4 linked regions of the Stegostoma tigrinum genome follow. The protein of the gene in region 2 purifies or fractionates together with the protein of the main gene of each other region. This does not show direct contact. Links are inferred from orthologs where the notes say so. Each region holds a gene or a part of one and is shown on either strand. Other genes may lie near its edges.

Region 1 (6,896 bases), on a different chromosome or scaffold from region 2:
ACAGAATTGTGTTACAGAAGGAGGCTGACAGTCAAATCAAATCAGCCTCCCTTTCCTCGTATTCACAACACAGTAAAATTAGAATATTCCATGACCCACAAAATTGCCCCAATGATTCATAACCAGAATTTTTGAATACCTCACAGTTCATAACCTAAAATAATTTTAAAAAATATTAATTACACAGTAGCTTTAGCAGAGCAAAGTTAAACAAGGTAAAACAGTAATTTAAACCCAATCTTCTTTGATTCTAGACCTCCACTTGCACAAAAGCAGATAGACACAGTTAAAGGATAAATTAAAAGAAAAAAAAACAGATGAAAAGTGACTGGCAAATTCATTTAACCTGTTTCCACCCTGTAGCATCACAGGTGCATAGGATTGCAGCTTGCTTGGTTTCTGAAGACACCGATCAATGCAAACAGTTTCCTGTAAGCTCCAAGGGAAAGTCGCTTAATTCTTATGACTGAAATTCTATTCTCTGAAGTCTCAATAAATTGGTAATTGGACAATAATAATACTGTAGTCATACATCCTTGCTGTAGCTTTGGCAGCCATAATCATAGTGACAAAAACACAGTTCAAAATCTGTGCAAACCTTAGTTTCTCTTTTGGATTTTCTTAACATTATTTCTCTTAGGCTGACTGCTACCATAACTCCATGAGGCCCCATCTACATCCAAACATTTACCATCTGTTTGAGAGTAATGCATCTTTGGGACCAAAATATCTCTACAGCACTTTGAAGAAGAATCCAACTGCAATTAATTTCCAGGCCTGGTCTGAAACAAATATTTTTGTTTGAACAAATGTTCAAATGGTTGTTCCCTTTCTAAAAAAAAATGCTGCTGCTGACAGATCAAAGATAGCCTTCAGCTCCAAACCAAAAATAATGAAGGTCTCAAGAAGAGAGAGAAACTATTCCCTTTGGTGGAAGGATCCGGAATTGGAGATCGCAGCTTGTAGGCAATTGGCAAAATAGTTGAAGGCAACGTGAAGAAAAGTCTTTTTGGGCAGTGAGTAGTTAGGATCAGAAATACACTGCCTATGTTGGAAGGATAAAGTTGCCAGAAGACTGTACAGTTGCTCTCTTGTTATAGAGAGAATGACTGGTGGTAGTTTAACCAGATGTCACCATGCATCAGGTGAGGGGAGAGGTTGAGAAGGTAGGACCTTCATGGTAACCTCAACCGTGTTGAAACTGAACATGCCTTGTTGGCATCAATCCACATCACAATCTAGCCAGCTGAAAAAGGGGATGTGATGGCTTTGTGGTGTCATTCATGGAGAAATTTGCAAGAAAATAAAAACCACAAGTCAATCACGAAGTGGTCAGTACATAGCATCCTCAAGACACAGCAGGAAAAGGAGAGGGTGGATCCAGTCGTGTGGGTCCCTGAACAGACTGTCAAAGTCATTTGGCAGAATGCCTCATCACTAGAACTTTCTGACCAGCACCAAGACATCACTTGGCTGATGGTAAGAAGGGCACGACCTGAGAGATCCTTCATGTACACCTAGTTGGTTTGCGCCACTGCATGCTGCGGTCGAAGCAGCTGCAGGGACGTTGAGACTATCACACACCTTCTGGAATGTGGTTTTTTAAAGGCAATCTGGAGAAAGACACAGTGGTTTTTGGCAAGGTTCATCCTGAGCATCTCTGGGACACAGGACTCTGTACTCTATGGTCTGTCCCCCATACTGAGACAAACATCAACTGCACCTGGAGCCCTCGATTCAGTGAAAGACGTTCTTTGGTCTGCCCAAAACTTGTTGGTCTTCCAGAACAACTATTGCAGACTGGCACATTCCAAGGTCCAGGACTATGTGCTCAGGGATATTGTAAAGTTTGGGGCAACTGCTGCCATGACGCCACTGTCTGAGGTCTTTCTGAAGTCAAACAGGTGTCTGTTCAATTATGAGACCCTCCTAGTGCCTCAAATGCATGTAAATATAGTCTTGTACATGTAAGAGACGTCTGTGGTTTGTTTGGATACGGTCAAACTCCAATGTTTGTTTACTTCCTTGATATGCTACTGTACAGAACTGAACTGCATTTGTAACTATATGTGTATAAAAGATATTTTTTAATGAATAAAGTATGTTTTTGAAATTAAAAAAGGTATTATCACTGGACAGTTAATCCAGAGATCCAGGTAATATTCAGGGACCTGGGTTCGAACGCCACCATGAATTCGTGGAATTCATGGTCTGGTCTACATACGACTCCAGACTCACAACACAGAAGCATAGAAAGTAGGTGCATTAGGGATGAGTAGGGTCATTTGGCCCTTCAAGCCTGCACCACCATTCAGTACGATCATGATTGATCATGCAATTTCAGTATCCCATTCCACTTTCTCCCCATACACCTTGATCCCATTAGTTTCAAGGGCCACATCCAGCTTCATCTTGCATCTATCTAATGAACTGGCTCCAACAATTTTTTGTGGGAGAGAATTCCACAGGTTCACAACGCTCTGAGTGAAGAAAGTTTTTCCTCATCTCAGTCCTGAATGGCTTATCCCATATTCTTCGACTGTGATGTTTAACTCTAGACTTCCCCAGCACTGGGAACATTTTTCCCACAGCTAACCTGTATAGTCCCATGAGGAATTTATGTTTCCATGAGGCTCCTTCCTCTAAAATCCAGTAAATATAAGCCCAGTCAATCCAATCTTTCTTCATATGTCAGTCCTGACAGCCTAGGAATCAGTCTGGTGAGCCTTTGCTGAACTTTCCCCAATGGCAAGATTATCCTTCCTCTGACTAGGACGTGGCCTCACCAAGGTATAAATGGAGCAAGCCATCTCTACTCCTATGCTCAAATCTTCTTGCAATGAACGCCAATAGCTTTCCTCACTACCTGCTGCACCTTCAGCAACTACTCCACCATGAAACCCAGGTCTCGCAGCACCTTACCTTTTCCTAAATTGCCACCATTCAGCTAATAATCTGCTTTCCTGTTTCTGCAACCAAAGCCGATAACCTCACATTTATCCACATTAATAATAAAATGTGAGGCTGGATGAACACAGCAGGCCAAGCAGCATCTCAGGAGCACAAAAGCTGACGTTTCGGGCCTAGACCCTTCGGCTGCTTGGCCTGCCGTGTTCATCCAGCCTCACATTTTATTATCTTGGAATTCTCCAGCATCTGCAGTTCCCATTATCTCTGATACTATTTATCCACATTACACTGCATTTGCCAAATATTCACCCACTCGGCCAGTCTGTCAGAGTCACTTAACAGCCTCTTAGTATCCTCCTTACTGCAAACACTGCCACCCAGCTCAGTGTCATCAACAATGTGGTTGACCCTTAACTACCCTCTGGGTAATTAGGAATGGGCAATAAACGCTGGTCTGACCAGCGACAGCCTCATCCCGTGAGCGATATAAAAACATACCCCTCCTGGTCATTACCCTAAGGCTTTGTACAGGTTCTTGCTGTGCATAAAAATCGCTCTTTCTTTCAACACATTAAATTTGCTTCACAAGTACTTCATTAACTGTAAGATTCAGGAAACGTTTGGAAACAGGTCACTACATAAAATATGAACACTTCATTTCCCCTCCCTTGGCTCTTCACCTCGAAATCAAACTCGGCGATTCAACCGTCGTCCCTCAACTTTGGATCACATGGCCTACCACCGTCCAATCGAAGCACACCCCAGCTCGTTTAGATCACGTGATCAAATCTCGTCCGTTCAATCGTAGCTCCCGCGGCTGTGACCACGTGGTCCACCACCGTCCAATTGAATCACCCCACTCCGCCTTGAGTCACGTGCCCAGCACCATCCAATCGAATCGCTAACCGCTGGTTCTGGATCAGGTGGTTCAATGTGGTCCAATCAACCTCCTCCCTGTCACATGTGCCTGCCTGTCCAATAGCCACGATCCTTGGTCATTCCGGATGATCTGAGTAAGATGGCTGCTGCGCCTACTTTGCCTCAGTGCGCAACCGGGCCTGAAGTGATTCGTGGGCAGGTGTTCGACACCGGGCCGCGATACACTAACCTCAGTTACATCGGGGAGGGAGCTTATGGCATGGTTTGGTGAGTGTGATCTTTCAGGATAGTGGTGATGAGAGAGTGTCCAAGTTCGAGTCCGTAGAGGGAGGGGGCGGGAGAGGAAGCAGAGATTTGGGGGGCAGTGGTGTGGACGGTGGGATAGTAGAGAGAAAGGAGTACCAGGAGAGGTGACTGAGTATCGTCCGGAAAACGGAGGCCGCAGGATGCTTCGGGTCACTGGTCGGAATTAGGATGGAGGAGATGAGGGTGGAGATTTGGAGGGAAAGAGAAAAAACTGGGAAATAGAGAGGTCCAGGCGAGCGAAAACGGGTGGGGGTAGAGAACAGTTAAACAAATGGGGTGGAGGCTTTAGGGAAAGTGGGCTGTGACTGATAGAAGGAACGAAATTCCAGTATTTTAGTGAACTGAAGGAGAGACGAGGAGAGGATAAAGGTAGAAGAGGAGTCACGACAATTGGGTGTAGCAGGAACTAGTTGGATACAATTAAGAATATGGCAAAGGCTGTGAATTTATTGGGGTTCGGGAGAGTGGAGACGATTAGGTAATTGTGCAGGCTGTAAGGCTATAAAGAGTGTTTAAATTTGGAACGGACCTGAAGCCTGTTCATTGTATTTTTGATTAGATAATTGTAGCTTGCGTTTCTTATTGTGTACTGGCATGCCTAGTACAAATGACGTATAGCAAGTACTGAGTGCAAAACTGAGATCGAAGTCTGGCGATGCTAATGGATCTTTCTCTTTGTTCAGATGTGCTTATGCTTTTATAATTGTAATGAAGTCTTTCAGAGGTCCTTTGTAGCAAATACTTGATGGCAATTGGGAGTGCTGTGCAGTAAATTAAGCAATACTACTCTAAGTATAGAGAACAACTTGAAGATGTTTTCTTCCATTTCCCTTTTGGAACGTTATGCCTGCTACAACTGGCCAGACTTCTTGCCTGTGCTTGCAAAACTGTTTCTGCTGCTGTGTAATATGCCCTAAAATGTAAAGGTAGATATGGCAGCACCAGCAATTGCAGCATCCAGCTGGGAAGAAAATTACTGAAAATATATGCAGCAGGTGTAATTTTGATAAAAGTTTATTTTATATGTCAGTTTATACATATCTTTTGAAAAATGACCAGGGCAAGTTGTGGATAAACAGCTGTCTTCAATTAACAACACGTTACTCTCCTCAGGCAGATTTTTTTTAAGCTGAGTTGTCATTCCACAGACTTTGGCAGATTTCCATTCTTTTGCCCGAATGGTCATTTTTCATGCAAGTCTAGACACTATAAATATTTTCACTCTTTGACTGTTGTGATCAATTCAGCCCGGCCCAAACTTGTTGCCCAATATTTCATGTATTTTACAGTAGGGCTTGCTGAATGACGATTAGAAGAGAAAAGTTTCCTCCTTGGTCTACAGATGTTGAAATCAACTGTATCTGAACTAAAACTGATTTCTTAATTTTAACAGGCTTACGCCTCAATAACAAGTCTCACCTACTCCAAGCGTGTGGAATCATATGTTTGAACAAGTGGTTAGAAGACATTTACAAGCTCTATTTGATGAATAAACTTGCAGATATGCTCATTCAGGGCATTCTATTTACTTGCTATTCTGTTGAAGAAACTCCCTTTTTAAAAACACGTCATTAATATGGATAGTATAAAGTGTATGACTATTATCTCAGCAAAGTATTCCGGCAAAAGATCTTTGTATGCTTGTTGTGGTTGGCTTTTAAATCCCAGAAATCTCATCTCATTTCCTGGGGTAGTCATGCTGCTGATAATGGATAGATGTTAGCCTAAATGACCATTACATCATCAGCTCTGTTTAAAAATTCTCACAAGTAATAGCTTTAGTATAACATATTGTTTAAATTGCTTTCCTGTTCTGCTAAGTTTATTTTTTTGTTGTCAAACTAACTATTCCTAGTTTTATAATAAGAATCTTTTACTAAAGATTAGCAGGGAAGACCCTCAACTGAAATGCCTCCATGCCAAGACAATGTTTTGTGTAAATATTATTCCTGGTTTATTTGGTTGAAACAGTACATAGCCAACTGGAAGTTTTAATAACACCATATTTTTGTGTGAAAATACTTCCTTGTCATGGCTTGCTGTTGTACTCTGAGGACCTGACCACATTGATCTAATAACCTCAGAGGCAGTAGGCCATTGTGGTTAATTAAAATATGAGGCATAAGTATAGCCAATTCAGATCAATGCTGTGTCCCACCAGGGTTCTTGGAAAATACTCTTTTGGAAAAATGGTATAGTTTCTTAGACATTACTGTATTTATGCTCATCGTGCCAGTTAAAACCTCCTGACTTAGTGTTGTGATGTAGTGTTTTCTTTTGGTTGTAAATTAAGGTGAAGTTACACAAGCATGAATATTACTTAAGCAATAGAAAGGCCTATGTGAAAAATACTTTGATCCACTCACTGATACAGAACTTTATTAGGTAGGGTGCACTCGTGGATAATAAGTATTGGTGTGTCGTTTATTCAAAAATTTAATTTCTTTTTTATTGAAATGTTTTTGATTTGATGTGTCTGGTTCAAACACTTTGGTTTTTGTGGAATTGCATTTGTAAGGAAGCATGTATCAGTTTAGAAATTAGGTTCTGTCATTTACCCTGATCCTGAAGAGTGGTTATAAAAATATCAAATGCACGGCTTTTTTTTTACCCCCTCTGGGGCTCGACCTTCTCCCACATGGTGCCTTTGAACTTAATGGATGCTGTAGATTATTTATTTATATGGCTTTGGGCAGGGAAGTGTTCTGAAACATGGAGGAAAGATTTTGTCTGTAGTGCACAGCGCAATTTAATTTTCCTTTTGGATCCATGCAGTGCCAGAGCTTTCTTAGACTTCAATT
Region 2 (7,883 bases):
TCCTTCTTTCTCTTCTATATCTTTCCACAACACCCTGTATCCAGGAATATCCAGAACTCAGTCCAGCCAGTTGTGACTCAGATCTCAGCTTCGCTGTTTGGCTCTTCAAACATGCAGCTCACCAACCTTATGTACAATGTTTTGTGCACATATACGCACTGTAAGTACTCTGAGTAATGCTAATGTTTCTGGTATGGGGAAAATGTTTGCAGCTGTTATTAAAGATGTCACAACAGGGCACTTAGATAAGTTTAAGGCAATCAGGAAGAGTCAACATGGTTTTTCAAAGGGGTATCATGCTTAACTAGTTTATTGGAGTACTTTGTAGAAATAACTTGTGCTGTAGCCAAAGTGGAACCAGTGGATTTATTGCGCTTAGACTTTTAGAAGGCATCTGAAAAGGTATTACATCAAAAGTTATTGCGGAAAATAGAAGCTCATTGTGTAAATAGTGAAGGTCAGATCGCTTTTGACAAAGTTCTGCACAGGAGCCTGCTAAATGAGATCAGAGCCCATGGTGTTAAGGGCAAGATACTGGCATGGATAGAGGATAGGTTGACTGGCAGAAGGCAGAGAGTGCGAATAAAGGGGTCATTTTCAGGACGGCAACCAGTGAGTAATGGAACTCTGCAGGGGTCAATGTTGGGACCACAACTATTCACGTAATACATGAATGATCTGAATGAAGGAGCTGAAGGCAGTGTTGCAGATGACACAAAGATAGTTAGAGGGGCAGATAGTGTCAAGGAAGCAGGGGAAGCTATAGATGGTCTTGGACAGGCTCGGCAACTGGGCAAGGAAGTGGCAGATGGGATAAGATGTGAGAGAATGTAAGGTTATGCACTTTGGTGATAAGAATAGAGGCATAGGCATTTTCCTAAGGGGAAAGGCTTTAGAAATCTGAAGCACAAAGTGACATTGGAGTCCTAGTTCAGGATTCTCTTAAGATTGATATGCTGATTTAATTGGAAGTTAGAAAGGCAAATGCAATGTTAGCATTAATTTCAAGGGGGCTAGAATACAAAGGGAGAAGCTGTAAAAGGGTCTGGTCAGACAGCATTTGTAATATTGTGAACAGTTTTGGGCCGTGTAGTTAAGCGAGGATGTGCTGGCCTTGGAGCAGTTCGTATTATTTTATACTCTGGTGCTGAGTGTCCTTTTCAATCTTTTCTGTACTTTGTTCTTCTTTTGAATGCTGCATCTTGGTTCCTTTTCAACTGCCATATTGGTTTAACCCCTACCCATCATCCCCAGCAAACGTTTACAAGAATGATCCCAGGAATGAAGGGCTTACTGCAGGAAAAGCAGTTGAGGATAATGTGTCTGTACTCAATGGAATTTCGAAGGATGAGGGGATATTTTATTGAAACTTATGAATACTGACAGGCCTGGACAGAATGGACATGGAGAAATGTTTCCACTAGTAGGAGAGGCTAGGATGCAATGGCGCAGCCTCAGAGTGAGGGGATGATGATTTAGAACTGAGATGAGGAAGAATTTCTTCAGCCAGAGGGTAATGAAACTGTGGAACTCATTGTCACACTGAGAGCTGTAGAGGCCAAGTCATTGAGTGTCTTTAAGACAGAGATTGATAGGTTCTTGTTTAGTAAGGGCATCAAGGGATTATAGAGAGAAGGTGGGAAATGGGTTTGAGCAATATATCAGCCATGGTCAAATTGTGCAGCACACTTGATGGGCCAAACGGCCTAATTCTGCTCCTGTATCTTATGATGATAAGATATGTTATATGTTATGTTGGCATGGCAGGTGTGTTACAGGGGTCAGTGCTTGGGCCTTAAGACCTTACAATGTATACAAAAGATTTGGATGATAACACAAAGATAGGTAGGAAAGTGAGTTGTGAACAGGGCACAAGGAACCTGTGAAGGGATACGGCTAGTTAGGTGAGTGGGAAAAGATCTGAAAAATGGAATACAATGTAGGAAAGTGGGAAATTGTCCATTTGGGAAGAAAGAATGAAAAAGATGAATATTAACCAAATTGTGAGAGTTGGCAGAGCTCTGAGATGCAGAGCGTTCTGGGTGTCCGGGTGCATGGTAGAAGGTTAGTATGCAAATACAGCAAGTAAATCAGTAAACCTAATTACTGTGAGGGAAATTGAATGCAAAAGTAGGGAAATTATTCTTCAGTTATACAGAGCATTGGTGAGACTGCATCTGGAGAAATGTGTATAGTACTGTTCACCGTACGTTTGGAAGAATGTTAATATATTGGAAGAAATTCAGAGAATGTTTACTAATCTAATACCTAACATAAGCATATTGCCTTATGAGGAGAGACTAGAGAGGCTAGACCTGTATCCCTGGAGTTTCCAAGAATCAGGGGATATTTAATTGAAATATGAAATACAATTCCTGAACGGACTTCACAGGGTGGATATCAAAAGGATGTTTCCTCTTGTGGGAGAATCTAGGACCGGGGTCATAGTTTAAAAATAATATGGTGTCCATTTAAGACAGAGTTAAGGAAAGAGTTTTAAGCTCAGATGGTTGGGAGTCTTTAGAATTTTCTTCTTCAAAAGACACTGGATGCAGAATCTTTAGGTTTTTTAAAGGCAGAACTAAATAGAATCTTTATTACCAGTAAGTCGAAAGATCATCGGGGTATGTAGGAATATAGAGTTAAGGTTAAAATCAGATCAGTTATGATCTTAATGAATGGGGGAAGAGGCTTAAGAGCAGAATAGCTATCTCTTATCCCTTTCTTGTTTGTTTGTACATTTATATTCCTAACTAATACCATACTGCATTCCCTCTCAGTATTACCCCACTAAGTATATCGTTATTTTATACTCTGGTGCTGTCAATCTTTTCTGTAACTTGGTTCTTCCTTTTGAATGTTGCATCTTGGTTCCTTTTCAACTGCCACATTGGTTTAACCCCTACTCATCATCCCCAGCAAATCGGTTCCTCAAGGACACTGATCCTGGCTCTGTTGAAGTGAAGTTCTGTGAGTTCTTGAGTTCTGGGGAAGGGTCATCGAACCCGAAACGTTAACTCTGTTTTCTTCTTCACAGATGCTGCCAGACCTGCTGAGCTTTTCCAGAAACTCTGGTGAAGTAAAACCTGGCTAGCCTCTCCAGGGCCCGTATCCATCAAAAACAGTCATGATGTCTCAGAAATCTAAAGCCTTTTTTCTTGATATACATTCATGTTTGTCGTTCAACTATTTCAAAGCCCACTGTGAGTTGGCACCATGAGGAATCTGGAAATTGTGGCCTGAGAGGTCCTATTTGCTAGTTTTCATCCTAACAGTATAAAAATTTCTGCAGGACCTCAGTTAACTTTTCAGTCCTGTTGTCAGGACCAACAGTGAATGTGACCTCTGGCTATTTACCCTCTTCCCTCAAAGTGTTTCGCAGCTGAAAACGTGATATCCCCGACCCTAGCACCACAAAGGAAACACACCATCCATGATCACATTTGTGAGTGCAAAAGGCCCAATTTCCTGACCAATAAATGATCAATACTGAGTTCTCAGTTGACTGTTACATTAAAGAAAACACTTTTCTCCACCTAATACCGTCGCACAGTACAAAGTAATCCCGCAAACAACCAGTCATCCTTTATCCTACTTCCTCTCCATTCACCAAACACACAACCATTGCTCAGCACGAACTGCTGCCTTGATATTTATCAGACTGCAGCCAGACGTTAGCAAACAAAATAAATGTGGCAGAAGCAAATGCTTTCTATGCAATTTAAATTTAAACAGAAGTCCAATTTTTTTTGAAAAATATACTTTTTCCATAAACCTGACAAGCATACATTACAGTCTATTCAACTGTAATCACCAAATTGGCCAGTATTTCCCTACCCATTTCCTCTCCAATCAGTTGGGACTTTTCTTGGAACTTATCCTCTTTCACTGTTCCACTATCTCCTCCTCACCCAACTTACCCTTCTTTACATCTTCTATTTTGACTTATTTCACCAACCCAAATCCTTGTCACTTGGTGCTCAGCTCTCATGCGCGTATTCTTCATCCGCTCTGTCTAACCTCTGGGAGATGACAGAACACCTCTTATCCTCAATCTGTTTAGTCTTCTTATTACCTTCTCTAGAAGAGTCAATATAAAACACAAATGGATGAAGAATGATGCACTGTTTATCACTCTATCTATCCCCATTTCCTGATTTATGAGTATGAGCAATTCAAATCTATTTTCATGTGTAAAAACTCACAATTTACAAAACACAAGCAATATAATTAGGTGATAATGGGAACTGCAGATGCTGGAGAATCCAAGATAATGAACTGTGAGGCTGGATGAACACAGCAGGCCCAGCAGCATCTCAGGAGCACAAAAGCTGACTTTTCGGGCCTAGACCCTTCATCAGAAAGGGGGATGGGGTGAGGGTTCTGGAATAAATAGGGAGAGAGGGGTAGGCGGACCGAAGATGGAGAGAAAAGAAGATAGGTGGAGAGGAGAGTATAGGTGGGGAGGTAGGGAGGGGATAGACCTATCCCCTTTGGCAATTTGGCCCATTGGCTCCACTCACCGCTGTAACCGTGCATTTTTTTTGGAAAATCCACCTAACCTGGACATCTTTGGACTGTGGGAGGAACCTAGCAGAAACTGGGGGAACGTGCAAATGCCCCACAGACAATTGCCTGAGAGTGGAATTGAACCCATGTCTTTGGGAGTCTGCAGAATTAACCACTGAGCCACCATGCATCAATCCAATGAGTATATTTATAAAAGTGGCAGCTGCTGAGTAGATTTCTTTGAATGTGCATGGAAGGAATGAGTCAATTTTTTTTCCCTATCGTGTTGTGTGCAATTCTCCTGCAGCATTAATGAGATTTTCTCTTTGCACAGAGATACAGTTTGAATTCACTAGAACTATATCGGTGCTTTCTCATGCACACAGCAGCAGTTTGTGAGTAAGCTGCTCTCTCTTCCTGGCATTGTTTGCCCTTTCTTTTCCCTTATGAGTTTTCCATTCATGTTTCTGTTTAATTCAAAAGAGCATGTGCTATATGTGTGTGTGTGTGTGTGGGTGTGTGGGTGGGCTTTGAAAGTGTCCTGTTCGGCAAACAATTGAGTTGAAGGGAGAGAAATGGGAGAGAGCTTGAAACGTGGGGGAGAAGAGAGAAAAAAAACCTTCACAATTTAATCAGGGATGTGGGCGTGAAGACAGCAGCTGCTCCGAGACACTTGTCGATGAATCGTGATATCCGGAGCATTCTTCCACCAACCTCGATGAGCATCTTAGCTCACTGAGCAGAAACAGTATCCTTTGTCTTCTCTGGATCGGGAGATATAACAGAGAGCAGCGTAAGGTTTACTTCTGACGCACTCCATCCTCCGCCCCTCCCCCCTCCCCAAATGCCAAGGACCATCACTTGCCAAAAAAAATTCTACACTTACAGCCACAGGTGCTCAAAGGAGGGTAGATCAGTCCTCAGGCTGACAGAGTTGATACACATGTATTGCCTATGATTAATCTTGATGAATACAATGTAAACAGCAGGCCGGCTGACCAAATTCTTCAACTGGTAAATATCCATTTCTTTGATGTACTTTTCCAATGTGTTACTGTAGTTGCTGCGAACCATGTAGGTGAAACATCTTCTCGAAGTCATTATACAGTGCATGCTTAACCCTTAAAGCCAAGACCTATGTAAAGCCTTTAATATGGTTATACCTTATTGTTTCATAGAGTATAACATTAGCAGCAGTGTATAAGCCTTCAGACTTCTTTTTTAATTAGACGTATTGACTTGATATTTAGTGAGTCTGGTTGTGGTATGGAAAGGAATATGATGAAGATCTGATTCAGTTAGTCAAATCCTGAGTTAGAGATTTCTGAATGTGCTGTCATAATAATTCAACACTGACATGACTTGATTGTGGCCGGGTTTATATTTTATTTATCAGTTGGTGAGTGTCAGGCACACTGGCTTAATGGCAGTTTCTAAATAAGCCGTGCTTTGTCTGCATTTTTTTGAGTAAGCTGTCTGAAAATCTTTCAGAATATGACTGGGGATCTGAAGTCTGCTTTCTGAAATAAAAAAGTGTTCAGTTTTCCACTTTTTATTGTGGTTTACGATATGGAGGGATTGATTTTATTTTAAGAGTGGTTTTCAATGGAACTTTAGCAAGAGGGCTGTGATTACAGTCCTTCCCCTCTGTCTGGTCTTGATTGTCTCTCCTGGACTTGGCAAAAGGTGGTGACCCAGACATTGCATAAGATGGTGAGCACATATTTAATCAGGCATTTTGACCTTTTATTAAAAATTAATTATATGAATTGTGTGTGGATTTATCAATTTATAAATGCTGACCATTATTCGTTTATACTGGCTTTATGCTTCTGTGCAAAGTTGCTTCATTTGCCACTTTAATGGAATCAATGCAACATTAACTGTAAGTCATTGCCCAGCCATACAGTAATATTTGAGGATGTAATCTAAGCACTGCTAGATATTACATTTCTCTAGTCAGCACAGTGACATGATCCTACACAATATTGTAATGTACATTGCGGGATTTCTAATAGAGAAAATTAAAGAAGATGATACCAAACACTAACTTATCCCATTAAAAGGAATCAGGCTACAACTTGTTATTGGACAGGTTTTAGAGTTTAAGGAAGCTTGAGTCACCCTCCAGTCACCCTCCAGGCTACTGAGTGAATCACACAGGCTAAGACTAGATTTATATCTGCAATCATTAGACTTGCTGAATGTATCAAACCACAATTGTTCGGGAAGTAAAATGGCGAGGAATGTATTCAAATTGTGAAAACCATCTCGTTGAGTAAGTACCAGATCAACAAACATGTGCCAGATGCTTTGTTTCTGACTACATAAGGCTGGTTCTTGAATATGATTTCAGTGTCATTTACAGAGGAAAGATAATAGGCTGAAAACTGCAGGCATGTGGCAGCTCAAACAAAATGAACCTGCAGGTACTGGATGTTTGAAGCAAAATGTTGGAATCACTCAACATGCCAGGCACTATTTGTGGACAAAACACTTGAGTTAGGTTTTCTATGTGGTCCTTCACTAGGATAGGACAATGTTGCTGAAGGATAACATTTAAAAAAAGATAAACTACAAGAAAGAAGGAGGAAAAAGTAATGAGATAAGAAAGAAAGCAGACCTAGAGTTATAGTTCTGCAGAGAGTTTGATCATTATTTATTCTTACCTCTGTCGAAGACTTGTGGATATTATAGAGACATGGTGTCGGTAGCATTTAATTTGTTCTTTAGTGTTCCCTACAAACCTTCTGCAGAAGTTACGAGAGAAGTTGGAAGAATGACTGCGAAAATTCAATCTTCTGACTGACAAACAGGATATGGTTAAGTGGCTAAAGTGATAGAATGAATGTAGAGGTTTTATGAGAGAACCTGTGACTAGTTATGGATATATGTGGTTCCTCAAGGTTTTCTTCAGGGAAAATCATGTTTAAATAAGTTTCTGGAGATTTTCAAAAAGGTAACAGAGGGTTGATGAGGGTAACATTGTCGATGTGTTACATGTGGACTGCTGGAAGGTTTTTTATATAGTGCTGCAAAAAGGGCTTAAGATCAAACTTAGTTCACATAGAATAAAAGAGAAAGTAGCAACTTGAATATGCAAAAATTGGCTCAGTGGTAGGAAACAGAGGAATAATTGCCAATGGACTCTTTATGAGCTGGTAAAATCTTTGTGGAGGATTTCCCCATGGCATCATTATTGGGACATGTGTATGTATTAATGATCTAGATCTTGGTGTGTAGGTGACAATTTCAAAGCTTATGAAAAATGCAAAACTTAGAAGCATTGTAAACTGTGTAAAGCCTGAAAGGACATGAACAGGTTGGTGGAGTGGGATGATGGTAGTAGATGCCAGTTAATGTAGAGGAGTGTG
Region 3 (7,211 bases), on a different chromosome or scaffold from region 2:
AAACTTAAACGTCAGCAGGCCACAATGATGGTCCAGAGAAGGAAGTCAACATATTGTGTAGATTCTCAACCCACTATCTTCCTTAATAGCAAATGCAGAAGGGGCTTCTGTGGTATAGTGAAGCTCCTGGGTCACACTAAATGATGCTTAACAAAGTGTTGACCACCACTGAGCAAACCAGTGTCATTAAGACAGATAGATGCCACCAGAATGGGAACATTAGCTTGGGGCAGGAACCTAAGTTTGAAGTGAACTTTTTGCCACTGGATTTGGAGGATCTTGAAAAGGCACTGCTGGTACTTCCACTGCTGTCTTACAGTGTCTGCTGTAGGTAGGCAATGGCCTAGTAGCATTATCACTAGACTATTAATCCAGAAATTCAACTAACTTTCTGGGGAACCAGGTTCAAATCCTGCCATGGCAAATGGTTAAAAATTGAATTTAATAAAACAAAACTGGACTTAAGAATCTACTGATAACCATGAAATCCTTTTGAATGTCACTGCCTACATGTGACTCCGGACCCACAGCAATGTGGTTGACTCTCAACAAAGAAATAAAATTAAATGGACCACCTGAAATTAACCTAGGCACCTGAAAAGGCACGGCAGAAAAGGCCCATAGGCCCTACAAAGTCATGCTTACTAACATCTGGTGGCTAGTGGCAAAATGGAGAGCCACAATGCAGACTTGACATTTTCATACTCACAGAATCGTATCTCACTATGTCTCAAACACCACCATCACTATCCCGAATATGTCTTGGCCCTCAGGCTGACAGACCCAGCAGAGGTAGTGACACAAAGGTATACAGTCAGGAGTGAGTTGACATTGACTTCAGATCAAATGAAGTCTCATGGCTTCAAGTTAAACATTGGTATGGAAACCTCCTGCTGATTACAAGGTACTGTCATCCCTCAGCTCATAAATCTGTACACCTACATGTTGAACAGCACTTGGAGGAAGCACTAAAGGTGGCAACAGCACTAAATTTATTCTGGGTGGAGGATTTAGCATATACCACCTAGAGTGGCTCGGCAGAAGTACTATAGATCAAGCTGGTCAGACCCTGATTGATATAGCTGCTAGATTGTGTCTACAATATTGCGCCAGAATTTCAGCAAGGGCCCTATCTACTCCAGGAATATTGCTGCTTTCTAGCTGTTGAATGGCTTTTCCAACTTTCCTCCAAGATCAACCAAGCTGGTACTGAGGAATGGAATAGAGGACATTCAATTGGAAGACAGAGTCTCAGGTAAAACATTCTTCAAAATATGCTCTCCAGCACTGACTGCCTCCCTATCCAATGAGAACCCCTCCCCGTATGGATTTCAATAGGGTAAGTCCTTGACTGCTTTTGGGGCATTGGTGGTCTTGAGAACATTGAAGCAACCACATCTTTAGTGTCTGCAGTTTTTGAATTTCCTGTGTTTTGCCATTCATTTTTTAGTTCTGCCATGGATTTTAAGCTGTAATATTGCCTTAAGCAAGTGAAGGACTGTTGCATTCATTCAGTCCATTGACTCCATGCTGGCTCTCCAAAACAGCAGTTTTTATGTAGTCTCACTCTTCCAGTCTTTCATTTTTCATATGTTTATCCAGTTCCCTTTCAAAACAATCACTGAATTTGTCTGAATCAAGCATAAATGCAGTGAATAGTGCTTGGAGGAAGCACTAAGAGTGGCAACAGCACTAAATGTATTTCGGGTGGGGGATTTAGTGTATACCACCGAGAGTGGCTCGGCAGAAGTACTACAGATCGAGCTGGTCAGACCCTAATTGATAAAGTTGCTAAATTCGTCTGCAATACTGTGTCAGAATTTCAGCAAGGGCCCTATCTGCTCCAGGAGTACTGCTGTTTTCTACATGTTGACTGGCTTTTCCAACTCTCCTCCAAGATCAACCAAGCTGGTACTGAGGAATGGAATTGAGGACATTCAATTGGAAGACAGACATATTGCTTGATATCCTTATCTAACAAAATTCTCTTGACCTTAATCAAACAAAGCATACATCATTTGGAAAATGTCTGGTTTCCACACTGTACATTTTAAATTTAACCATGACTTTCTGCAACATCCTTCAGTATTACATCTCCTTCCGTATGCTTTGGTCATTGAGCTCCGCTTACTGCACCTTCCAGAATCTGTGCTCCTTCATATTTATAGTTTTATGCAGACTCTTACCTCTTTAGTTGTCTTTTTTTCCCCCCAGAAAGTATTTATTGTCTCCTCGGGTTATAAACTGGTTCTGTATTGCAGGGTCTAGGCCCGAAACGTCAGCTTTTGTGGGATGAAGGGTCTAGGCCCGAAACGTCAGCTTTTGTGCTCCTGAGATGCTGCTTGGCCTGCTGTGTTCATCCAGCCTCACATTTTATTATCCTGTATTGCAATACATTGTTTTTGACCACTTTTTGTTGATCAACTGCCATTTTACCCATTACAAAAATTGCTCTGTTTACTGTGGATTGTCTCTGTCTCATCTCTTTGAAGTCAGACTTACCAGAATCTTAGTACTTTTTTGTGTTTCACCCTTTCAAAAGTTAAGTTGAATTCAAAGGTATTGGGAGTGCTATTAAATAAATGTTCACTAATTTGGTTCATTACTTAATGCTAAACTTAATGTGGCAAAACCCCTTGTTGGTTCTCTAACATACTGCTGCAGAAATCTAACAAGAAATTCAGTACATATCCTAGTCTACTTAACCCAATATATATGAAAGTTAAAGTGCCCCATTAAAAACACTCTAATTTTGCTTGTCTACCTTTGCACTTGTACAACTTATCCCACCACATCAGCTAGCAGCCTCAGTTGAGAGTCGTCTTGACCCAGAGTCAATGGTTATGGGTTTAACTCTGTCCCAGACGCAAGCATCGAATTTAGAAAGCTAGCTTACACTTCCTTGTAATACTCTGAAGTGCTGCACTGATATTTCATTGTTACTTGTGAAATTTTGTTATGTAAAAATTTGTTGCCATATTTCCCTATCTTTTACGTTACTTCATTGGCTACAAAGTGTGTTTTTGCAAAAGGTTCAATATAAAAGTTTATAATACTGGTAAGATTGCTTGTATAGGCGATCCTAACCCCTTTCACGTGAATTTCTGATTGACTGTGGACTTGCTTCTATCTAGTCTACTGTATTCACTGCTCACAATGTTATGACTTCTACATCGGAGAGACCAAACACAATGATCATATTGCAAAACAGCTGTGATGAGTCTGCAAACATGACCTTTACTTCACAGCCGCTTGCCATCTTGGTACACCATCTTCCTCTCAAGCCTACAGCTAACTTAGGCCTGTCGCTGTGTCACAACAGAAGATAGATGAACAGCATCGCATTTTTTACTTAGGTACTACGTAACCTCTCTGGACTTGACACTGGGTTCAACAACTTAAGAAAAAAAACTTTGTACTCCATTTTATTTCTCCAATTCCTTAGGGTCAGATTTTCTTGTTTTGCTTTCAGCAGAGCCGACTGTGTTCTACTGTTAGGTCCAGAACAGACGTTACCTCCCTTTCCTATGCCATTACTCCGCTCTTTCCCGTTTATGCAACATGTCTAATCTCCCTCAACCCTCTCTTCATGGATTCTGAAAACTGTTTTTATTTAATTGGGAATTTGGTGGTGATGGTAGTTTCTTTTCGGGGAGAGCGGAAAAATGAGGTAGAGGAAATACGAGCTGAATACAGGAAATTGTTCAGATTCAGTCCAGGGCCTTACTAACTTTGATGCGAAACTTCGATTTAAAGGTATTAGACTTCGTACAGAATGTGAAAAAGCATAATTCGGATCTTTCTATACATGCAAATCATATTTTTAAGCTCCATAAGAAAACTTCCCTGTCTATAATTACCGAGCATTTTTTTTAAAAAAAAACCTCCCGTTAATGCCAATTATAAAGACTGCAAAGTCTGTTCTACAAAATTCTCAACCTCTGAGGGATCGACTTCCTCCCAGTCATGCAATCCGTTCGATGGAAATACGGAAGGACCAGGTTGACTCCTCTCGAGAGTAAGTCACCAATCCGCTTGCCGCCTTTCTCCGCACTGGACGCCGGGAGTTGCAGTCCTTACCTCGCATTGATACGCCATCTGCGCATATGTCCCCCGCAATTGCCTACATGTCCCTAGAGGTAACAGCCACGCGTGCGTAGAAAGTCTTCCTCCGGCGACGGCAAGGCCTTGGGTTGACCTACACCAGGAGAAGGAAGATGGCGGCGCCGGTTCAGCTTGGTCTAAAGGTGATGGAGAGAGTTGAGTTCATTTGATTAGCACAGATTGTTAAATGTTCTACAGCTTCTAATGCTCCGTTTAAGTTTCCCTAGATTAAAAATGAAATTTAATTTAGTAAAATTACTTGACATACTATTGCTGCCTGCTGGTATCGAATTTAAATATTGGTAATGGGCTGGATCATTCATAGTTTTGCTTTTTATAAAGTTAAGACTTTCCTGCTAAACTTTAAATGTAGAGGATTTGGCACCCTATTTTTAAATCTAAATTTAAACGTGACCTTGAAATTCAGAATTCACTCGGTTGGGTATTTATTCTCCCCGTGTCTGCGTGGGTTTCCTCCCACAGTCCATAGATGTGCAAGATAGGTAGATTGGCCATGCTAAATTGCCTGTAGTGTTCAGGGGTGTGTGGGTTATAGGGGGATGGGTCTGGGTGGGATGCTTCAAGGGACTTGTTGGGCCGAAGGGCCTGTTTCCACACTGTAGGGAATCTAATCATAACTCCTTAGGAAAGTAGGGATACATTTTAAGTTAAACCGATGTTAAATTTGCATTTTATGTAATTGATGTACCACTGTACTAAGAGAAAACAAGTAAAAACAGAGCTGGCAACTTAAATCTAGAAAAGTATGAGGCTCATTGTCACCTTCAGCAGATTGGATGATTCAGGATCTTTCAATCTGTGGTCTATCCCATCCTTTACACCAAGAAATCAGAATACTAATTGTAGTTCACTGCATCATTGAAGCCAAAGTGACAGAAACAGCACAAGATCTACCCTGGAATTGGGTACTGTACCAAACTCAGAAAGTGCACATTTGGCTGCTGAAAATACTAAAAGTAACAGACTATGAACACAGTCAAGTAAAACTACAGCCTGTTGATTAAAAACAAAACTGTGTAGCCATACTGCAGCAAGTCAAGAAAAATGCTAGGACAACCAAGTGTCTACAGATGGTATGATTAAAATTCCCATCTTCCACCAATAAGATGGCATTATTTGCAACAGACTGACAAATTCAATGAATGGGTAATTCCTCATTAAGGCTTCCATCATCAGAGATGCATGTACTCATCCAAATCTATTTTCTCCATGAGACATTATGCTGCTGAGTTTAGTTGGCACAGTTAAAGAATCGGCCTGAAATAACAGAGATAAAAAGGTGTAGAGCTGGATGAACACAGCAGGCCAGGCAGCATCAGAGGAGCAAGAAGGCTGACGTTTCTAGGCCCGAAATGTCAGCCTTCCTGCTCCTCTGATGCTGCTTGGCCTGCTGTGTTCATCCAGCTCTACACCTTGTTATCTCAGATTCTCCTGCATCTGCATTTCCCCTGAAATAACATGCTGTTTATACATTAAAACATCTGTACCTCAGGTTCCTCCCACAGTCCAAAGATGTTCAGGTTAGGTGGATTGGCCAAGCTAAATTGCCCATAGTGACCAGAGTTGTACAGATTTAGGTGGATTAACCATGGGAAATGCAGAATTATTTGTTGGGCAGAGTTCTGGGTAGGATGCTGTTCAGAGGGTTGGACTGGACTTGATGGGCCACATGGCCTGCTTCCACACTAGGGATTCAATGATTCTAGAATCAGATGCTACCCAAAACAGTTGTTCCAACAGAGCTCTAATATAGTCATGCACCTAAAGATTATAAAATCTTATGTTTATTCTGGGAAATTATCATCCTATCAACTCCCTACAGTGATGCCATCAAGTTACTCACCAGGGATCTACCTATTGAATGGGTTCTATTCAGACCAAGGTTTCTTTGATTTCATCCACAATCTGATCTGTACATGGATAGAAGAGTGGAATAACTGATGTCCCAATTATTGATAATAGTCGATACCCTCAATGTTTAACATTATTTCATGAGATTTAATACAGGATATACTTAAAGATCATTTTTTTGTTGAAAAGAGACATGTGCAGGGACTGGATGTCTGCTCGCACAAGGCAAGCATATTGTTGATGGGCAATTGGAAACTACTATATTTTGAATAAAGAAACTGGAAAAACTGTGGATGCTGGAAATCAGAAAAAGAAAATGCGGAAAAACCCAGTTGTTCTGATAGTATCTGGAGTGAAATCAGAGTTAACATTTTGGGTCCAGTGAGCCTCCTTCAGAACAACTATATCCTTCACTTTTCCTTTTCTAATTTGTTTAGCTCAAGAAAACTAAAACTAATCATTACAGTAATGATCTGACTACAGTCCATTAACTCAGTGAAGAGACACTTTGTTGGCTTGCACAATTTAATGTAGTGTAGGAAATTTTTATCTTTTTAGAAATTGCACAGTACTATAAGACTCCATATTCTCCTGACCTACAAAGGTTGCCTCTGTCTCAACAAGACACTTCATTCACTAGCACTTTTCCAAAGGTAGCCTGTAAAGCGCCAAAAATCTTCAAATACAAGACTCTAGACAATTCAGGAATTGTGCCTTTTGGATTGAAAAATGTCAAGCATGATACAAGGGAAAAACCCTGTAGTGCCATCTGCCTATGTTTGGCTCATATTCCTCTAAACGTTTCCTGACCTTTTCTAGAGGTTTATAAGAACATAGAAACAGCACCTCCTCCATGACAATCCCCAACACTGGCACCCTAAAAGGATGCATTCTCAGCTGTCTTCTCGCTGTACAGTCTCAACTGTGTGTCCAAATTTCATACAAACACCATCTACAAGTTTGACAACACCACTGTTGTCGGCTGGATATCAAACAATTACGAATCAGAATACAGCAAGGAGATACAATGCTTGATGTCGTGGTGAATGATAACAATCTGTCCCTCATAGTCAGCATAATTAAAGAACTGATAATTGACTTCAGGAATAAAAGAGGAGAATGCGCCCCTATCTACGTAATGGAGGTGGAGGGGGTGGAGAGCATCACGTTCCTAGGAGTGACAATAACAAACGTTCTTTCCTGGACATCCCATTTAGATGCTACAGTCAAGAAGG
Region 4 (7,191 bases), on a different chromosome or scaffold from region 2:
GCTTTTTGAATTTTATATAGGTTGTACTCTAACATTAAAATTTTTCTGCAGTGTCTGTGAATATTTACTGCAACATTTACATCCAAAGGAAACCAAGTGTGATGAGAGAAAACTACTGCTTAATCAATTGCTCTGCTTAACGCACTGCCGGTTTCCTGTCTCCTAAAAGACTTAACAATACTGATGACAGTATTTTGTTCCCACTTTTGTGGGGGAAAAAATGAATTAAATAGCACAGAAACATTTGGCTCAAATGAAATGCAGTTAAGCACTCAGGACAGAATCCTCAAAAGAAAAATCTTATTTCTTTTAAACTGAGGGTTGAAGCATTGATTCAACATTTCATTATTTCAGCAAAATAGTTTTACTGATGTTCGACTAAAAAAACCCATTTCAGGTTTAGAACAGGTCAAAATTAAGAACTACAGTGGCATGTAGCTCTACTTTCTAATTTCTTATTCCCTGAATTTCTTTTCACTTTCTAGTCTGCACTTTAAACTAACTCGTCATCTCAAAATAAGACTGCCAAGACCTATGATAACTAGGTGTGGGGCTGACATTTCGTCTAAGCCTGAAACATCAGCCTTCCTGCTCCTCTGATGCTGCTTGGCCTGCTGTGTTCATTCAGCTCTAATCTTGTTATCTCAGATTCTCCAGCATCTGCAGTTCCTACTATCTCTGTTAAGACCTATCATGGATTTTACTACATTTAATATATCCATGGATTTGCTGTACTGGCAAATGTGTATATGATAATAATAGCAAATAAATGTATGTGCATTCACCACAACACATCACAGCATCTCAGGGCATCATGGGCTGATTGCAAATGATGAAACAACATTACTAGACAAGCTGACTTATCAACTCACCAGTACCATCCAGCAATGTGACCCAAACACCACCACAAGCACATTAAACAGTACCCCAAGAAATGCCCTGCCAAATGGATATTGGATCCTTCAGCAGCTGTCACTCTGAAAAAAAACTACTTTAGATGGTGCTCATCATCATAACCAATTGTGTGAAAAGAAAGTAAGTGACTAACACAAATGAGATATCATGCAAAATCAATGCCACAGATAGAGAAGAAATCTAATTTGCAGGCAGAACTAATTTGTCATACTCTTTAATTTCAGTTAAACAATGCATTAGTTGCCCACAATTAGCTTCCCAATGTTGCAGTCAAAAAAATCACTTAAATTTTCGTATTTCCAAAATGAAAACACCCACGATCTGCTTCTGCACAGCGACTTGTTAAGTTTAAAATACTCAGTATTGACACCCAAGCTTCTCAAATCAGAGCGTTGGTAGAACATCAGGACTATTTCAGCCACTGACCCAAGCAGTGAAGGGTATTCTTTTACTTGCATGATGAATATTGTAGACAGATAGGCATCTATCGGAAGCGTAATGAAATCAATATTTGTGATGCTCAGCACTCGCGTTTACATATATATGCACATTTTCCATTTGTGTTTCTGTTTGTTCATAAGGAACCTTAGAGGGTCAACAATCTCAAACTTGACCAAATTTTGTCACTCATCTTTTCACATTTTTTCAATTGGTAGAAATGATCCACCTCATTTGTATAAGTCCTTCCGCAACACTACCCAACTCTGTAAGCATCTAGTTCCATACTCCAGCCGTCATTGCTGCAGTTAGGCTCCTATTGACCCCACAATTCTACTCCACTGCTAATGGTAGCATTTCATAGTTTTAAACAAAAGCCGTTAGCGAAGAATGTGAATTTAAGGCTCACGTTAGGTTGAAAAGGATCGCAAGATTCATATTTAATACTCATATACAAAAATAAGAAACTATCCAAATTGTGCAAATCATTAAGTTATAAACTGCTATCAAACTACTCGTTATTTCAGTACTGTGCCTATATGGCGAAGCAAGCTACAAAAGGGTCGAAAGCAATGCCGTTCAACAATAGAATTTAGTCAATAAAAGTATTCCCATGAAAATGAAACTTGCAACTATAAATGCAATAAAGAGCAATTATTGTGGTTAAGAGACAATCGCTGTATCGACTGAAAGGATTAGACATGCTATCAATATACCACAGGGTTTAGAATCAATCCACAAGGGAAACTGATCGGTTAAAATCCAATGGCTTTTCTTAATAAAAACCGGAATTAGAACTATACAGTAAACTTTCACTGCTGCTTTACCCCTTTTGTTGCACACGGTAGGCGGCCTCAACAGTGGAGAAAACCAATGCATCATGCAAAAAGTTACTGAGCAATTTGTTTTTGACTAGAGTTGAACACGTTTTGTCAAGCCCGCTTAAAGATTTTGCACACAGAAAACGTTAAAAAGTGCAATGCGTGCACCATAGCGTGCGGGAGTCCCAATGAAACAGACGCCAAACATCCTAATGGCTCATGAAGAAAGTGCGGGCCTAGCTAGGCCTGCAGGGGTGCACAGCTGGCAAGGCTGCTTGCAGCTCTTGCACAACTTTCCCACAACTTGGGGCAAAAACAGAAACCTGTGCGCGGCTCCGGGAAAAATTAAAATAATTGAAACCAGCGGCGGCACACGTACCAGACGGAGCCGTAAGCCCCAGATCCGACGGGAGAGAGGTTCTGGTATCTCTCCGGCACTTCCCAGATTGTCTTATTCAACTCTTGCTTGTAAAAGTGCGGCCTGACTCCTGACATTGTGCAGGGAGGCTGTTCTCCTCTCTTAGAAAAGGGGAGGGTCGGAGGTGGTTGAGGGAGGCGGGTGGACGGAGAGAGGAAGGGGAAGGCGTCAGGGTGCGGAGAGGAGTTGCTGCAAAGAAGAATTTAAAATTTTGAAAGAAACCGCCCGTTCCGTATCTCAAAAACGACTGACTTGAGGAGGTGGGCGGGGCTGTTATGTTACTCCTTTTTACAATCCCGATGTGGAGAAAGTAAAATCCATTCAAATGAAGTGGATCTGTAACATCAACACCCCCCACGGGGAATGGCATCTGACACCCGACGGCTCGAGCTGCTCCACTTCCCTCTTCGGACGCGCTGGCGTCATAGGCCCCGCCCACAGCCGCGCGCCCTTATGCGCGCGGTATGGTTCGGTCATTGCGTTATATCATTCGCCCACACCCCGGGCGTCGGCGGAGCGCGGATAGACGGGCACGCGGCTCCGTCCTCCCAACGGCCAGTGCTGTTGTTCGGCCTCATTCGTGCCTTTCCGTTTCGCTGCTCACTATCCTTCCGTTGTCGGCTGCTGTATATCGAACGCTTGCGTTTTAATAGAAACAAGAAGAAATTGCAGATGCTGGAATCCAACGTAGACAAACAGGAGGCTGGAAAAACATAGCCGGCCAGGCAGCATCTGGAGGAAAGGAGTAGTAACACAGAAAGCCAGGCAGTATAGTCTAACATGCCACTGACACTGTGGAGGTGCCGCTGAAAAATGATTTGTGGCAGAGACAGACAGACAGGCACAAGAGCACAAACGACGCATTGAGTTATTGCCCGCACAGGTGCAAAAGGATAGCTGTTAAGTTGTGAATTTTAAATCTGAGGCCGATAGGTTTTTGTTCGCGAAGATTGCCTGGGACGATCGCAGATAAGATAACAACGTTTAGGGGGCATTTACACAGACACACAGTCAGAGAATAGACAGATGAGATGAGTATAGAATGGAATCATGGTCAGCACAGACTTGATGGACTGAGGCATGTGTTCTTATGTTACATTGTTGTATGTTCTATATATTGAGGGTTAAGGGACTAGGTCACTGAACCAGACATGGCTTCATCTATAGGCTTACTAGGCTGAGGTGAATTTGATTGCCTTTTCCTGCCCCTATATAACTTTTATAGTCTAATTTTGCAAAGATCAGTTGCTGGATTGAGATTAATGAATTTATAGCAAGCTGCATTAGACGTACCTGTATGCAAGTATTACTATATAATATATAAAGACTGGATGTCATATCGAACACTTGCCATTTTATATTTTTATTAATACTCTGTCCTACATTTCTATTGTGGATTCATTGTAGGTAGGGTTGAGAATAAATACAGCACACTTACAATTCCCTACATTTAGTGAGACAATATAAGTAAGCATGCACACTGTTGGAGAAACTGATGATCATCTGGTGTAGTTTGCATCATACTGCAGACTGTCTGCAAGTTTGAATTCCTGATATCCAAACTGATAGGTCCCGCACCCCGCACCAGTTGTTTATGTCTCCTACCCAAGATCATAAATCCAACTGACGACCCATTGTCTCTGCCTACTCCGGCTGCATTGAGCTCACCTCCCACTATCTTGATTCCATCTTTTCCCCTTTGGTCCAGGAACTCCCCACCTACATTTGGGACAATCCACACCCTCCACCTTTTCCAAACCTTTCAATTTCCCACCACCCAATACCTCAACTTCACTGTGGGTATGCAGTCTCTGTACACCTGTTTTTACCACAATAATAGCCATAAAGGACTCCACTTCTTCGTCACCTGTAGGGCCACACAATCCTCGTCCACTGACACTCTCATTCACCTGGCAGAACTGGTCCTCACCCTCAACAATTTTCCTTTGACTCCTCCCACTTCATGCAAAATAAAGGGGTGGCTATGGGCACTGACATGGGCCTGATTTATGCTTGCCTCTTTGTAGGATTTGTGGAATAGTCCCTCTTCAGCAATTACACCGGCGCCATCCCCCATGTTTTTCTCAGTTATATTAATGATTGGTCCTGCCTCATGCTCCCGGGAGGAGCTCAAGCACTTCATCAGCTTCGCCAGCATCTTCCATTGCACACTCAAATTCACTCGGACCATTTCTGGCACCTCTTCCCCCCCTGGACCTCTTCCTTTCCATCACCAAATAACCAGCTTACCAATGACATCCAATTCAAGCTCATTGACTCCAACATTTACATCTCCACTCGTCCACCCTCCTGCAAAAATTCTATCCCATACTCACAATTCTTCCACCTCCACCACATCTGCTGCCAGAATGAGGCATTCAACTCTAAGACTTCCCAGATATCCTCTTACTTTAGAGACTGTAGTCTCCCCTCTCCTCAGGTCAGGAGCTGAGTGGACCTGGCGGAACCCAAATTGGGCGTCACTGAGCAGGTTATTGCTGAGCAGGTGTTGCTCGATAGTACTGTCAATGACACCTTCCATCAATTTACTGATGATTGAGAGTAGAGTGATGAGGTGGTAATTGGCCGGGTTGTATTTGTCCTGTTTTTTGTGTACCCCACATTACTGGGTAGAAACCAGTGTTGTAGCATTGCCAGAACAGCATGGCTAGAGGAGCAGTAAGTTCCGGAGCGCGAGTCTTCAGTACTATTGCTGGAATGTTGTTTGGGCCTGTAGCCTTTGCAGAATCCAGTGTCCCCATCCATTTCTTGATATCACGTGAAGTAAATCGAATTGGCTGAAGACTGGTATCTCTAATCCTGGGAACCACTGGAGGAGGCCAATATGGATCATCATTCAGCACTTGTGGCTGAAGATTTCTGTGAATGCTTCAGCCTCATCTTTTGCACTGATGTGCTAGGCCAGTGTGGATGGTGATTTTTGTTGTCCCTACTCCTCCAGTGAGTTGTTTAATTGTTTGTCGCCATTTACGAATGGATGTGGCAGGACTGCAGAGCTTAGAACTGATCTGTTGGTTGTGGGTTTGCTCAGCTCTGTCTCTCACTTGCTGCTTCCACTGTTTGGCATGCAAGTAGCCCTGTTCGATACCAGGTTGATACCTCATCTTCAGGCATGCCCTCCTACACTTTCCATTGGACCAGTGTTGATCCCCTGGCTTGATGGTAATGCCTGAGTTGTGGATATCTCGGGCCATGAGGTTACAGATTGTGCTGGAGTACAATTCTGCTACTATTGATGGCCTATGGTGTCTCATGGAATACCCAGTCTTGAGTTGCTAGATCTGAATGCAGTCTGCCCCATTTAGCAAAGTGATAGTGCCACACATCATAATGGAGATTATTCTGAATGTGAAGGCAGGATTTTGTCTCCACGAGGACTGTGCAATGGTCACTCTTACCGATACTGTCATATACAGATGCAACTGCGGCTGGCAGATTGGTAAGGATGAGGTCAAGTGTGTTTTTCTCTCTTGTTGGTTCCCTCACCACCTGCCGCAGTGCCAATCTAGCAGCTATGTCCTTTAAGGCCCGACCAGTTCGATCAGTAGTACTGCAGCTGAGCCATTCTTGTTGTGGACAATGAAGTTCCTCACCCAGAGTACATTTTGTGCCCTTGCTATCCTCAGTACTTCCTCCAAGCGTTGTTCAACGTGGAGGAGTACTGATTCATCAGCTGAGGGAGAATAGTACATGGTAATCAGCAAGAGGTTTCCTGAAGCCATGAGGCTTCATGGGGTCCGGTGTCAATGTTGAGGACTCCCATAGCAACTCTCTCTTGACTGTAACCAGTGTGCCACCACCTCTGCCGAGTCTGACCTGCTGGTGGGACAGGACATTTCCAGGCATGGTGACGGTGGTGTCTGGAACATTGTCTGTAAGATATGATACAGTGAGTATGACTAAGTCGGGCTGTGTCTAAACGATCTGTGAGACGGCTCTCCTAACATTGTCACTAGCCCCCAGATGTTAGTGAGGAAGACTTTGCAAGGTCAGCAGGGTTATTTTTGCCATTGTCTTTCCTGGTGCTTTGGTCAATGTCAGGTAATCTGCCCAGTTTCATTTTTTTAAGATGTTGTACCGACTGGCAGAGCTGAGTGGCTTGCTAGGCCATTTCAGAGGGTAGTTGAGAGTCAGCCACATTACTGTGGGTCTGGAGTCACATGTAGGTCAGTGTTAAATGACAACAGTGAATCCACATGAACAAGGGAATTTGCTGCCAAATCTATTAGGCTGTGAGGTGCAGAGTCCTCGACACAGTATTAAATTATGCCCTTCTCAAGGTCGACAGGGTTGCTCTTGTCGTCTTTTCCGACATCTAGGTCGATGCCAGGTAATCTGTCTGGTTTCATTTCTTTGAGACGGTGTAGCAATTGGCATAACTGAGTGGCTCGCTAAGCCATTTCAGAAGGCAGTTGAGAGGCAACCACATTGCTGTGGGTCTGGAGTCACATGTAGGCCAGTGTTAAATGACAACAATGAATCCATATGAACGAGGGATTTTGCTGCCAAAAATTTTCGGCTGTGTGGTGCAGAGACCCCGACACAATGTCAAATTATGCCCTTTGTCTACATTCACAA

What was found.
Region 1: the proteins of ptpn5 (region 2) and mapk1 purify together in Homo sapiens (affinity purification with mass spectrometry; 4 studies listed by BioGRID and IntAct, with this or other methods). This does not show direct contact. The link is inferred for Stegostoma tigrinum from reciprocal best matches to the Homo sapiens genes PTPN5 and MAPK1.
Region 3: the proteins of ptpn5 (region 2) and atp5po purify together in Homo sapiens (affinity purification with mass spectrometry; 3 studies listed by BioGRID and IntAct, with this or other methods). This does not show direct contact. The link is inferred for Stegostoma tigrinum from reciprocal best matches to the Homo sapiens genes PTPN5 and ATP5PO.
Region 4: the proteins of ptpn5 (region 2) and mitogen-activated protein kinase 14 purify together in Homo sapiens (affinity purification with mass spectrometry; 3 studies listed by BioGRID and IntAct, with this or other methods). This does not show direct contact. The link is inferred for Stegostoma tigrinum from reciprocal best matches to the Homo sapiens genes PTPN5 and MAPK14.

The regions. Positions count from the first base shown.
Region 1 is NC_081379.1:44,398,442-44,405,337, reverse strand, and holds the start of mapk1 (mitogen-activated protein kinase 1), read left to right. Parts: upstream 1-3,890; 5' UTR 3,891-3,928; coding exon 3,929-4,056; intron 4,057-6,896. UniProt on the Homo sapiens protein: Serine/threonine kinase which acts as an essential component of the MAP kinase signal transduction pathway. MAPK1/ERK2 and MAPK3/ERK1 are the 2 MAPKs which play an important role in the MAPK/ERK cascade.
Region 2 is NC_081370.1:8,063,053-8,070,935, reverse strand, and holds the start of ptpn5 (tyrosine-protein phosphatase non-receptor type 5), read left to right. Parts: upstream 1-4,875; 5' UTR 4,876-4,904; intron 4,905-5,212; exon of another isoform or gene 5,213-5,523; intron 5,524-7,883. UniProt on the Homo sapiens protein: May regulate the activity of several effector molecules involved in synaptic plasticity and neuronal cell survival, including MAPKs, Src family kinases and NMDA receptors.
Region 3 is NC_081365.1:21,269,664-21,276,874, reverse strand, and holds the start of atp5po (ATP synthase subunit O, mitochondrial), read left to right. Parts: upstream 1-4,202; 5' UTR 4,203-4,217; coding exon 4,218-4,259; intron 4,260-7,211. Other genes in the region: mrps6 (28S ribosomal protein S6, mitochondrial), read right to left, coding at 3,940-3,968. UniProt on the Homo sapiens protein: Subunit OSCP, of the mitochondrial membrane ATP synthase complex (F(1)F(0) ATP synthase or Complex V) that produces ATP from ADP in the presence of a proton gradient across the membrane which is generated by electron transport complexes of the respiratory chain.
Region 4 is NC_081374.1:27,103,225-27,110,415, forward strand, and holds the start of mitogen-activated protein kinase 14, read right to left. Parts: upstream 3,018-7,191; 5' UTR 2,670-3,017; coding exon 2,554-2,669; intron 1-2,553. UniProt on the Homo sapiens protein: Serine/threonine kinase which acts as an essential component of the MAP kinase signal transduction pathway.